Linked DNA regions of Rattus norvegicus. The protein of the gene in region 2 binds, or shares a complex with, the protein of the main gene of each other region. Links are inferred from orthologs where the notes say so. Each region holds a gene or a part of one and is shown on either strand. Other genes may lie near its edges.

The links.
Region 1: Fam8a1 (region 2) and Os9 share a complex: the UniProt entries of both Homo sapiens proteins name them as parts of the HRD1 complex. The link is inferred for Rattus norvegicus from reciprocal best matches to the Homo sapiens genes FAM8A1 and OS9.
Region 3: Fam8a1 (region 2) and Ube2j1 share a complex: the UniProt entries of both Homo sapiens proteins name them as parts of the HRD1 complex. The link is inferred for Rattus norvegicus from reciprocal best matches to the Homo sapiens genes FAM8A1 and UBE2J1.

The regions. Positions count from the first base shown.
Region 1 is NC_086025.1:64,826,148-64,830,250, forward strand, and holds the start of Os9 (protein OS-9 precursor), read right to left. Parts: upstream 2,924-4,103; 5' UTR 2,895-2,923; coding exon 2,733-2,894; intron 2,322-2,732; coding exon 2,145-2,321; intron 1,471-2,144; coding exon 1,407-1,470; intron 1,284-1,406; coding exon 1,207-1,283; intron 1,005-1,206; coding exon 906-1,004; intron 1-905. UniProt on the Homo sapiens protein: Lectin component of the HRD1 complex, which functions in endoplasmic reticulum (ER) quality control and ER-associated degradation (ERAD).
Region 2 is NC_086035.1:18,238,809-18,243,064, forward strand, and holds the start of Fam8a1 (protein FAM8A1), read right to left. Parts: upstream 2,896-4,256; 5' UTR 2,795-2,895; coding exon 2,170-2,794; intron 1,177-2,169; coding exon 1,056-1,176; intron 1-1,055. UniProt on the Homo sapiens protein: Plays a role in the assembly of the HRD1 complex, a complex involved in the ubiquitin-proteasome-dependent process of ER-associated degradation (ERAD).
Region 3 is NC_086023.1:52,232,199-52,235,845, reverse strand, and holds part of Ube2j1 (ubiquitin-conjugating enzyme E2 J1), read right to left. Parts: intron 1,808-3,647; coding exon of another isoform or gene 1,680-1,807; intron 680-1,679; coding exon 401-679; 3' UTR 1-400. UniProt on the Homo sapiens protein: Catalyzes the covalent attachment of ubiquitin to other proteins. Functions in the selective degradation of misfolded membrane proteins from the endoplasmic reticulum (ERAD) and is essential for cells to recover from ER stress.

The DNA.
Region 1 (4,103 bases), on a different chromosome or scaffold from region 2:
AGGCTCACGATGCTCCCACCTCCGCCTCCCAACTTACTGAGATTACAGGTGTATACTGCCATGCCCAACTGGTGAGAGGCTTTTGGTTTTTGAGGCTGTCCTGGAACCCACTAGGTAGACCAGGCTGCCTTTGCATTCACAGAGATCCACCTGCCTCTGTCTCCAGAGTGCTGGGAATCGAAGGCGTGCGCTGACGCTGTCAGCCCTGAAGCCAGTTTTAAAAGGCCATTAAGAGGATAGCTGGGCTTTGAGCGAGCTAGCCTTATCTCCCTCCTTCTCATCCTTGGTTCTACGATGTGGTTCTACGCTGTGACCCTTTAGCACAGTTCCTCCTGCTGTGGTGGCCACCCCTCAGCCATGGGATAATTTTCTTCTAGTTGAAATCTTGCTGCTGTTATGAGTCATAATGTAAATATCTGACATCCAGGGCATCTGATGTGTGGTCCTTGTGGGGTCTCGGACCACAGGTTGAGAACCACTGACTTGTGGCTTCTTTCAGACTCACTTCTTGGGTTAGCATCCCTTGTATATCAGGCCCTCCTCACATGCAGGAACTTCCTGTTTGCTTCCCACTTTGCTGGAAGAGTTAAGGCCGATGTCTCCATGTTACACCCAGAGCAAGAAGAGTCAAAGACAGACAGACGCTAACGTTTACAGCTTAGGTAACGGAAAGGAGAAATGTTGGAAAGGCTTAAATGTGCCTGGAAGTACTGAGGGTAGCCTATGGGAAACGCAGAGTTAAATTACCTCCACAAATGCAATGATATCACTCCGGCAGCTAGACATCAGCCCCAGACTGGGCTCTACACCTAAGAGATACTGTTCACTTCAGGGCACAAGCATCCTTCTCCCATAGTAACAGATGGACTATTGTTATTCAGGGAAGGTTTTCTTCGAAGACTTACCCGAACTTCAGCTTCTCTGGGCTTCCCATTGAGATCGCATTTGGACCCATTGCCGTAGGTCTGGCTGTGGTAGCGTTTCAGCCGATGCTGCTTGGAGGCCTGGAGAAAACATGAGGTAGGATGAGGGCATGAGGAAGGGTCTCTCCCACAGGGACCCGGGGATCAAAAGACCTGATCCAGGGGACTTGATGGGTACCAAACCCCAAGAAACATAGCAGTTCAGTCTGACCCTCCTGTCGCCTGGGTTGTCTGTCTGAAGCTCAGCCAGTCCCCATTCCAACCCCAATCCCCAGCCAGTCACCTTGGCTGTTTCATCGTCCCAGTTGAAGGCTGACTGGTAGTAGCCAAGGTAGAGGACGTCACCTTTGATCTCCGAGTCTGTAAAAGAAGCCACAGTAAAGCACATTATTCTATTATGAGGCCTAGGAGGGAGGACTGAGAGGGAGGGTCGCCATCCACACGGCATCATGAAGGCTTAGGGAGAATGTAGGAGTTACTCACCTTCCATATGGTACTGCTGGATATGGCGTCCATAACAGAATTCATATGTCCACCAGTCCTTGGTCTGACAATGGAAAGAGAACAATCAGGAGGCACGAAAACGGCTCCTTGTGAAACCAGTCTCCTGGATCCAAGATATATAACCTGTCACTGAGTTCTCACCTCCTGCTCTCTCTCCCCTCATGCATTCTTGATTCTAAGAGAAGGGACAGCTGTTTTCTTTTCATGGCCAGAGACGCACATCTAAAGTATAACTGATTCCCACCCACACCCTGTCTGTCTGTCTGTCTGTCTGTCTGTCTGTCAGGAAAGGGGTAAGACAGGGCCACAGTGCACTGTGATCCAACCTAGGATCACAGGCATAAGTCATTCCCTGCCCTCCATAAAGATAAGAAATCATGGTATCCTTGAAGCACTCAGAAGGACCCTCCCACAGGTTCAAGTATTAAGTGAACTTCTTTGAATACAATGGCATCCCGGGGTAAAGAGCAATAGGAGCAGAGGGTGACTTTATGGGTAAGCTCCTGCTCTTCCCATCCCATCACTGTTCTTCTCATCTTGGTTTAACCAATTTTGAGATCTTCTAACGTAACCCTTCCCTACACTCAGCAGAGTCTTTGCTTTGTTTCCCCCTCCTCCGTCTGAAAACAATGTCTAGTACACCAATGGCCCCTTAACTCCCACCGCCCCCCATTCCAGTTCCCAAGACTTCACTCCGCCCACCCCAGTTCCTTTCACCTTCAGCAGACAAGGGGCATCTCTCATTGGGCTCAACAATTCAGGAATCCCGGGCCCCTGGTAAGCAGGTGTCTCCTCCTCCCTTTCACGCTGGAAGTGAATAGCTCCAGCTGGTAGGCGGCACTCATAGCGCTGTTTGTACTTTGAAGACACAACCACCACGTCTGAAGCTTGGCTCTGGGAAAGAAGGGTCGGGAAGGGGGGCAGGGAGGCAGACGCTGGGACCAAGAACAACGAGATCCCTCTTCAGACCCTGGGGACGTGCCCAGTGGAAGAGAGAATAAGCCACAAGTCCTCCAGCAGCCCCGGCTGAGCGGAGGAGAGGGCGCTCTCGCTTCCCCACCTGGCGGGGTCCGGCTCCTTTCAACGCGACCTGGGGACCCGAGGTCCACAGCGGAGAGCCCCACCCCTGCCGGTGCCTGGTCCCCGGGGATAGATCTGCCTGCCATTCCCAGCAGGATCGTAGAAACACCACCATGTCTTCTTCATTCCCCCGGTCTCCCGCGCCGGACGCGCAGCTGCCTTTCCTCCTCCACCTTGCGCCCCTACCTCTTGCACAGGACCCTCGCCTCGCCCTACATCCCTCACCTGCCCTCCCATGACAGGCAACGGCAGGATCTGGATGCCATAACGCATCTCACTCAGCTCCTCCAAATTCAGGCTCCCGACACCGCCCGTCAGATGCGCAGGTAACAGGAGCCCCAGAAATAGCAATCCCAACAGACTGGACAGCAGCGCCTCCGCCGCCATCTTCCGCTTCGTCTCTGCTAGAGATGTTCCTTCCGCCCCAAACCTGGCAGCGGCCTCACCCGTCTATTAGCGCCTCAAGCTCTCATTGGCTGCCCGGGCGCTCTCTCTTACGTAACTCATCCTCATTTGTAAACGTGGCGTCAAAGCCTCCAGGGAGGCGGGTCGCACTGGTAGTAAAAATCAATAGCTGCTTCTGATTGGTCAGGAACAACAACCAATCAGCTACGAGATTAGGCCCCTCCCCTCCTCGCTCCTTATTCCTGAGAGGTGTGGACTGGCTGTGTTCTTTTGCTTCTTGTCTGGTCCCTGCCTTCGCCCAGCTGTCAGGAATAGAGCTTCTTATTACTTTTTCGTATATCTCTTGCGATGTATGGAGCCTCCATTGGGCAGAATATTGAGACGGATGGTGAGTGTGGGGGATATCTTTGAAACTTAATATCTTTCGCAAAACATACTATACAGAAGCATGACTCTTCATATAAACATATATGTATCCGCACATATATTTATGTGTTATATATACAATTATGTACATATATGTATACACAAATATACGTATATGTACATATTTATATATACATATACACACATATGTGCTAATATATTACCAGCAGCCAAATAGTCTGTGTCAAAACCTGAGTTTGTCCTCCAATAAAATTATCTTTTTTTTCTTTTCTTTTTTTTTTGGAGCTGGGGACCGAACCCAGGGCCTTGCGCTTGCTAGGCAAACACTCTACCACTAAGCTAAATCCCCAACCCCCCAATAAAATTATCTTAAGAAGGAGAGTGTGGTAGTGCATGCTTGTAATCCAGGCACTTGTGACACAGAGGCAGGAGGATCAATAATTCAAGGTCATCCTCCTCCATATAGTGAGTTCCAGAGCGTCCTTCGAGATGAGTCACACTCTTTCAAATACACACAGACACTGGTTTAGCGTGTGCAAAGCCCTGTGTTCAATCTGCCGCACAGTGTGAACCAAACATCCTGGTGTACACCTGGAATCCAAGCAGTCCTTGGCTACACAGAGTCGGATCTAAGCCTGAAATACACAAGACTCTGTCTCAAAACAAGAAGAAATGACAATGGAGCCAAGAGTGGAGGTGGATGCCTATAATTACAGGCTGAGGCAAAAAGAATAGACGGTTGGAGCCCAGCCCAGCTTATGAACAGCAAAGTCTTGAGGAGGCAATGAAGGAAAGAGGAGGAGG
Region 2 (4,256 bases):
TATCTTCTTTTCGATTCTGACATCTTCTCATAAACCCAAATTAGTGTCTCATTGAAAATGCTTAGCAAGTGGGAACAGGCATTATCCTAAGACTTGAGGTTTTCAAGTAAATGCCAAACTTTGCATTAGAATGTGCTCAACTCTAAGCAACCCCACTGAAATTGATCACCAACAGTCTGCCTACCACAGGCTCTTTGTACTTTGAAAATGTGTGTGTCTCTGTTTATTACAAATGTATGCCACGCATGTGCAGAAGCTAGAGCTGGAGTTAAAGGCAGCGATGAGCTGCCTGACATGGGAACTGACAAGCAGTGAGTACTCTTAACCACTGAAGCTCTTTGTGCTTTCATGGTAGAGACTTCATAGGCCAATGAGAAGGAAACTAATACATTCCAGGCCCAAGAGAATGGTTAACAAAAAACAAGCCAGGTCTAAAGGCTCCTTTTACCTATTAAAATCTCTTTTGAGACAGTATTTAATTGTACCTCTGGCTGGCCTTGAACTGGGATCTGCCTGCCACTGCCTCCTGGGTGCTGGAATTAAAGGAGTGTACCACCAAAGCCTCACTCCTCTTACCTCTTTCCCATAGATCTTAAACAACATATTGAGGTTCCTCCTTTGTTTCTTCCTTAAAACCAACAAGGGGCTGGTAGTGACAGCTCAGTGGGTAAAGTGCTTTACGAAGAAGGTCAGTCCCTGAGTGGGTCCCAGGACACCTATGTACCTATGTAGCATTGGGATGGGGGAGCAGTGGATTGGGGGACTTGATGGCCAGCCAGTCCAGCTGAAATGTCAAGCTCCAGGTTAAGTGAGAGACCCTACCTCAAAAAACACAGCAGAGAGTAGAAGACACCCAAAGCAGACCTCTTGGCTACACATAAATACACTTTAAAACAATAAATAAGGGAACAAATACAACTGGTACAGATTTCATGGAGACATCTTAGCCTTGGACATCCATCACTCAGAATTACTCATGGGCATGTGCAGAATTTACAAAACAAGATCCCTAAGTAGCAGCCCCAGCTACTTAACAGTGACTGTTCTTAACTTACTTTATCCCACTGAGATGCATGATGCTCAGGACAATGGTCGCTTTTATAAAGAAGAGAATAAAGAAATCCACCATCTCTGCCATAAATCTGTGGGCCAAGGATGGAATGACATACTCTCTACCTGTAAATCGGGAAGAAAAGGGAAAGGAATCTCTCACACAAGCTTAAGAACCAAGTCAGATAATGAAGGGGCAAAGTAAAGTCAAGGTCCAACTTAATTTTTAAAAAATGATAGCCTTGAATCAGCCAACAGCAATGATCCCATCAAGAGAACATGTTCCTAAAATGTCTAATAACGAGCTGGACGTGGCAAGCTATGCCAGTCATCCCAGCATTCCGGGCCCAGGCTCGGCAGAGTGGCTGTAAATTTTCCTACAGTTTGCTAGGACTCATAACTACACAGAATTGATTACTAGATGATATTCAAGGCTTGGGCCCAGTCAAAAGTTCTCATTTATAATGTCAATCGCCTTTCAGTCCCACTGTCCTTATACAGCCCAACTTGGTGATTTCTCGTATTCTAATCTCAATCCTCCAACAGTGCGCTTGCCACCTAAGTTTAGCTTTGGATCTTGTCCAGAGCATGGAGATCACCGAGAGAATGGTTTGATAAGCATACGTCTCTCTATATACAAGAAGGGCTACTAGTGTCAGGATTAAGGGAATCTATTGGTAGTGCCAGGTCTTAAGGGAAGAACAATCAGCATTGTACTTTTTTTTTTTTTTTTTTTTTTTTTTAGAATTTAGGGCCTGGGCAAACCATAGCAGATGTACGTGGGAACTGTCAATGGTAGTAGCAGTTCCCCAGTTACATATTTCAAGATCCTTCGACAGACCCCTTTGGCTAGCACAGGAATGTAGTAAGAGCCTATAGGCTGCACAGAAGTCTTATTGCAAGTTTGAGGCTAGCCTGGCCTATACACTGAGTTAAGGTTAGCCTAGACCACAAGATGAGATCCTTCCAAAAAAAAAATGGTGGTAGGGGTAGCAGTAATTTAAAAAAAGAACCCGCGGGCCACCAGTAATCCTACACATAGGAAGTGGAGGCAGATGAATAAAATCCTCTACTCTATCCCTCCGATGTTCTACGCACCCACCTCAACCCCGTTCTCACCTGCCTGCCGCCCGGTGTCGCTCGCCGTCCGTGCAGGGGCTGCAGAGCCCACCCTGGTCACAGGGACCGCCCGGGCAGATGCCTGCACGTGCGGGGCCCGGGCCGTCAGGCCCGCGACGGCTGTCGGGGTGGCGCCGGCGCTCGTGGCCGCCCCCGGCCCTGGCGCCGCAGCGCTTAGGAAGTAGAAGGGGTTGTAGTAAGCGAGCTGCGGCGGCGGCGGGGGCGGCGGCGGGGCTGCGGGCTGAGGGGCGGCGGGAGGCGGGCCGCAGTAGGCGGGGAGGGCGGCCAGGCCGCTGTGCCAGGTGAGGTAGCCGCAGTAGGATTGCCACAGCCATTCGTGCACCTGCCGCGAGTACTCGCGCGCGCTCAGCCGCCCCGGCCCGTCCGACGCCTCGCAGCCCCCCGGCTCCTGAGGCTCTGCGCCCGTCTCCCGGCGCTTCCGGAGCTCGCACTGCGGCTCCGGCTCCGGCACCGCCGAGGCGACGGTCGTGAGAGCCGGGGGCCGGGGGGCGGCGGCGGAGGAGGAGGAGGGAGAGCCTGGTCCGGAAGGGACCGGCTCGTGGTCCTCGCTACCGCCGTCCTGCCCGGGAGGGCGGCTCCGGGCTTCCTCGGGCCCCTCTGCCATCGTCGCCCCGGAGGCACCCTCCGCGCCGCCTGTCACTGCGCCGTCGCCCGCTCTCGTCAGCCCCTCCCCAACCGCTCGGTCGCCACCACAGCAGCAGCGGGCGTCAACAATCCGTCGCCGGAAGCGGAAACCCCGCCTCTCCGGCGCGTTTGTCTTGGGGGGTCGGGCGGGCGGTGGTGTTTCTTTGTGAGTGGTTCCTAGTTACGCGCCGTCTCTCTGGTTCTTCTGTTGTACGTTTTAATCATAAATTGTGGCATATTCGGTAACGTAACGTATCGCAGCATAGTATAACAACGTGTGCGATGCTGAGTACGAGTTCCTGGACACTGTGTACGCACCCATTTAAGCTACATCTGTGAGACATTCGGCATCACTCTTGAGAATTCTAATGAACTCCCATTACCAAGGCCCCTAGAGAGAATCCTGTGGGCTTAGGACGTGGTTGTCCCTTGTGAAACTGCATCTGATTCACCAGAATTTCCAAGCGGGCCCAGTCCTCCAAGCACAGTGCCTGTTTCTTGCTTATCACCTTTGTGTATGGTTTTTGTCTTTTCATCTATATGCAGCCTCTCAGATACTGATATCTTAATACACTTTGCTACGTTAAATTAATAAGCTCATTAGTGGTATTAGTGTGACTTAGTATTCCCAGGGCTATATAAGGAATCTACAAGAGTCAAATATTGTGATAATACTTAACGATTATTGCGCTGGCTAATTTCATGTCAACTTAATACAGGTTACAGTCATCTGAGAGGAGGGAACCCCAATCGAGAAAATACCTCTTATAAGATTGGACTGTAGGTAAGCCTGCAGATCATTTTTAAAACTGGTGACTGATGTGGGTGGTACAACTGCAGACAGCTGTTCTGGGTTCTATAAGAAGGAAGACTGAGCAAGCCATGGAGACAAGCGATGGGATGTGCAGCAGCTCCTGCCTCCGGGTTCTTCCCATTTGAGTTCCTGTCCTGGCCTCCCTCAGTGATGGAGTACAATGTAGATTTGTAAGCCAAATAAACCCTTTCTTCCCCAGCTTTTGGTCCTGATGTTCACCACACCATTCTCAAACTGCCAAAATGAGTTAGAATTAAACAGCTTATTCTTAGGAGAAAGGACGGGTAATGGGGAACAAGTGTGGCCACTCAGAGAGGAATGCTGCACCTAAGTAAGGGCTTTACCAGCAGCAGCAGGGGAGTGACTTGGGGGAATTTGCCGTGACATTTTTTTTTTTTTAAAAGCACCTGATCTATAAGGTTGGGACAAAAATGTGTGGCTATTGAAGGGGCAATACCTAGACACCTTTGTCTTGAGAAGTTGGTGTTCCTGAGATCTTGCCTCAAAGGAATAAGGCAGAGAGTGATAGGGGAGGGCATGGGAACATGCTTAAACTGGACAGACCTCTCTCCAGGCCCATTGTCCACTTTTTTTTTTTTTCGGAGCTGAGGACCGAACCCAGGGCCTT
Region 3 (3,647 bases), on a different chromosome or scaffold from region 2:
GTGCCCCACCGCCATCTTCTCCCTCACTGTCTAACTAGAGAAGGACTCACAGGCGAGACTGAGGAGCCATAACACTCAATGGAAACACCTTCTTAGCTGAGAATGCCAAAGGACACACAGAAAAGCACTGCGCTCTGTAGAAAAGCAGCGTGGGTGTGAGCAACCGCAGTAAGTTACTTGTCTGTGAAGTAGATTAAATAGTAAGACAAGGACTATGGCTTCCGACACACTGCTGGGCCACAGCCTGAATGTCTACTTATAGCACAATGAATTTATAACAATAAAAAAAGTAACGAAGGGTAAATACAAAATAATCTTTTGTAAACAATCCTTAGGTTATACCCAATGCAGAATGTTTAATGACGCAACTGAGTCACAGCTCTGAAGTCATAGACCAGCATTATAACTCAAAGTCAAATATGTACTCGTTGGCCAGATATATCCGTCGGAAGATGAGAGCTGCCAGTGCCAAAGTCAGGATGATGATCAGCATGGCTGACCCGCCGTGCTCCGTGTGGTTGGCTCTTGGTGGCTGGCCTTGGAGTACATCGGGGGAAGCAGACGACCTTCTCTGACTCTGTTGCTGGGCTCTACGTTGCCGAGGGCTCATGGAGGTATTCTTAGGAGCTGGCTGGGTAGGTTGTGGCAAGGGTGCTCCTGATGGATTCTGGGCGCCATACTAAGAAATAATAAAATCTGTTTGAAATTGGCCACAAAAAGAAAAATTGTACATGCACTTGTTAACAGTTTGAGAATACCTAGAGTATTAGATATGACTAGGGCAAATTTACCAAGAACCATCTGAATGCGGAAACCAGGAACCAACCCTGATAAATAAGCTAGAAACACAGGTTATGGTGAGCTCGATGAAATGGAGGAACCCATTTACAGCAGACAAAGGTCCACTGTGGCTGTTTCTCTGAAGATGGTGGACAGCTGCAGCAATTTCTGCTAAGCTTCCGGACACTGCTCTTCTATCCAAGGGCCCTGAAGGACACTGATCTCTTCAGTATTATCTTACCAATTGACATCCCTCCATCGACAATAATAAGGAAATAATTTTAATTTTTCATGCTGGTATTATAAAAATGTGATTGTTTTCAAACTCAGCTTACCCTTTTCCATAATCCCACACAAGTGAACTAAACCCAGGTCTAAAGTATCTGTTACTTAGTATTCAGTATTGTATGCTATGAGGGCACCCTGGGTCCATGAGGGCCTCAGTGTGCTCCACTGTGTGCACGGCTGTCCCCCAAGGTCCCAGGTGATAGCATCTTCCAATTGCTGCAATGACTGGCTCAGTCAGGGGACAATCATAATGTGACACAGGGTTTCAAAATCTCAAGTTTGCCTTGGAGACATTAAAACTAGCAACAGCACACTCAGGGAAGCTTGAAAGGTGGAGTACACACAGACTCCTTAACCTGCCCGCACTGCATCAATGGCTTTAGTCCTTTCACTAGGAATAGCCTTTCCATTAGAACATATTGATGCTTTAAGACAAGAAATAGAATGAAGTGTCTTAGTATAATATGAATTACATATGAGAAATGTCAAAGAGTTTCCAATAGAAAAAATGCAAACACTTAAAAGAATCAGATAATATAACCCAAATGATTAAAATTATAAGTTTTGTGCTGGCAACAGCTTGAACATGGGGGACTGCTGATCTCAGTTACTTGCAGAATGCCCGTCTGAAGCTTGACATTCGTTTCAACAGCCACTTGTTAACTGGGTATGGTGGATCCCACTTGTAACAGCAGCACTCAGAGTGACGACAGGATGGTAAATCCAAGGCTAGCCTGAGCTACATAGAAAGACACTATCTCAGAATAAAGGTGTGGTGGTGCCCCGTTGTGGCACAGCACATTCATAGCATCCACAAAACCCTGAGTTTGATCCCTAGCATAGGAAAAAAACTTAGATAATCTGAATTTCTTAAAATTATTCTTTGAAATTTCTTAAATGTAGTTAACCCATAATACAAAGATATAAAGAAACTACTGGTGAGTTTGCGTAAAAGAGCGTACTAACACTGAACTATGGCTGCATAAACTTGGACTTGTACAAGCTAGACTCCAAGGGACCGTCTGTCCCTTGAGGAGCACAGAGACAGAAAATTGTATGGTATATGAGGTCCCATGCCATCACAAATGCCACACAGTAAGTGAACCAAGATTCAATCAGTGAACTGGTTACAGTAGCCAACAAACATTACAGTCTCGTTCCTGCATCCTCCCCTGATCCTCTTGCCCCATCCTCCTCCACCCCCATAACCATCAAGGAACAAGTTCTTAAGGAGAACCATGACAACATAGCACTATAGTCTAAGGGGAAGATATATCAAAGCTTGTATTGACTGTATTATTTTTCCCTTAGTCTGAGGGGAAATTATCCTGCCCAAAAAACAGACGAAACAATGAGCCTTTATTATGTCTGCCTTTGCCTGCTAGATGTGTTTGCCTAAGCCGGCTATTTAACCTAAGTCTCGGCTCCCTCATCTGTCCGAGGCAGATAATATCCAATCCAGCAGGTGTGAGGGTTAAATGGATTAGTGACACCAAGTGCTATGACACATACTGACTTAGTAAATGTTAATCATCGCTGATATTGTTACTGTTAACATATCCTTTTGCAGGCTTCAGATTTAGACTCAAAAGCTAAGTTGTGAACTTGGTTAGAGTGGCTCTTAGCCTCCTTAGTACTGTGATTAATACATTTAGAAAACAACCCTTAAAACATGTTTGTAATCTCAGCACTTGGGAGGCTGAGGCAGGAGGACTGGTAAATTCAACGTTAACTTGGAACACATGGCAAGACCATGTCTTTAAAAAAAAATTAAATAACCCAGCACACACAAAACTCTTAAGTTTGATCTTGGTACTGCAAAATTAATTAATTAGTCAATCAGTACATGTGCTTTAATTACATTGCTTACTGCTGGGCGGTGGTGGCACAAGCCTTTAATCCCAGCACTCAGTAGGCAGAGGCAGACAGATCTCTGAGTTTGAAGCCAGGCTGTCTACAGAGAAAGTTCCAAGACAGCCAGGACTACACAGAGAAACCCTGTCTTGAAACCTGCTCCCCAAAAGGGCTTATATAATGTTTTATTTGGTTTCTATATTTCAGATGTCTTTTGTATAACTGGCTAAATACTAATGAAATCTTATAAAATACTGAAACTTTTCCTCTCTAAAATAAGTACAGTCATAGGTATGTACAGCAAGTTCTCCATAGTAACCAGAACAACCGACTGAGTGAATTGTTTGTTTTTTATATTAAATAGGATGCTCTTAATTTTTACTTATTACTGTAGGCAAGCATGTGTGGTATTACATGCCATGAACGTGCCATGTCATACTTGACAAGTCGGCCTTTCCAACTTTACATGGGCTCCAGGGATTGAACTCAGGTCGCCAGACTTGCATGGCAAATGCCTTTACCCACTGAGCCATCCTGGAACACTTTTTAATATAAAATAGAATGGCTTCCTCAGAATTTCAGTCCCTGGGTGGATCCAGGAAACTGGTAAGCCTGGCAAACACGAGCTCTCATCAGATATAAAAACACTACATCATAGACAGTTAATAACAACATAAATGATATCTAATGTAGCTGGAATACGTAACAAGGTGCTTCCCAGTAGA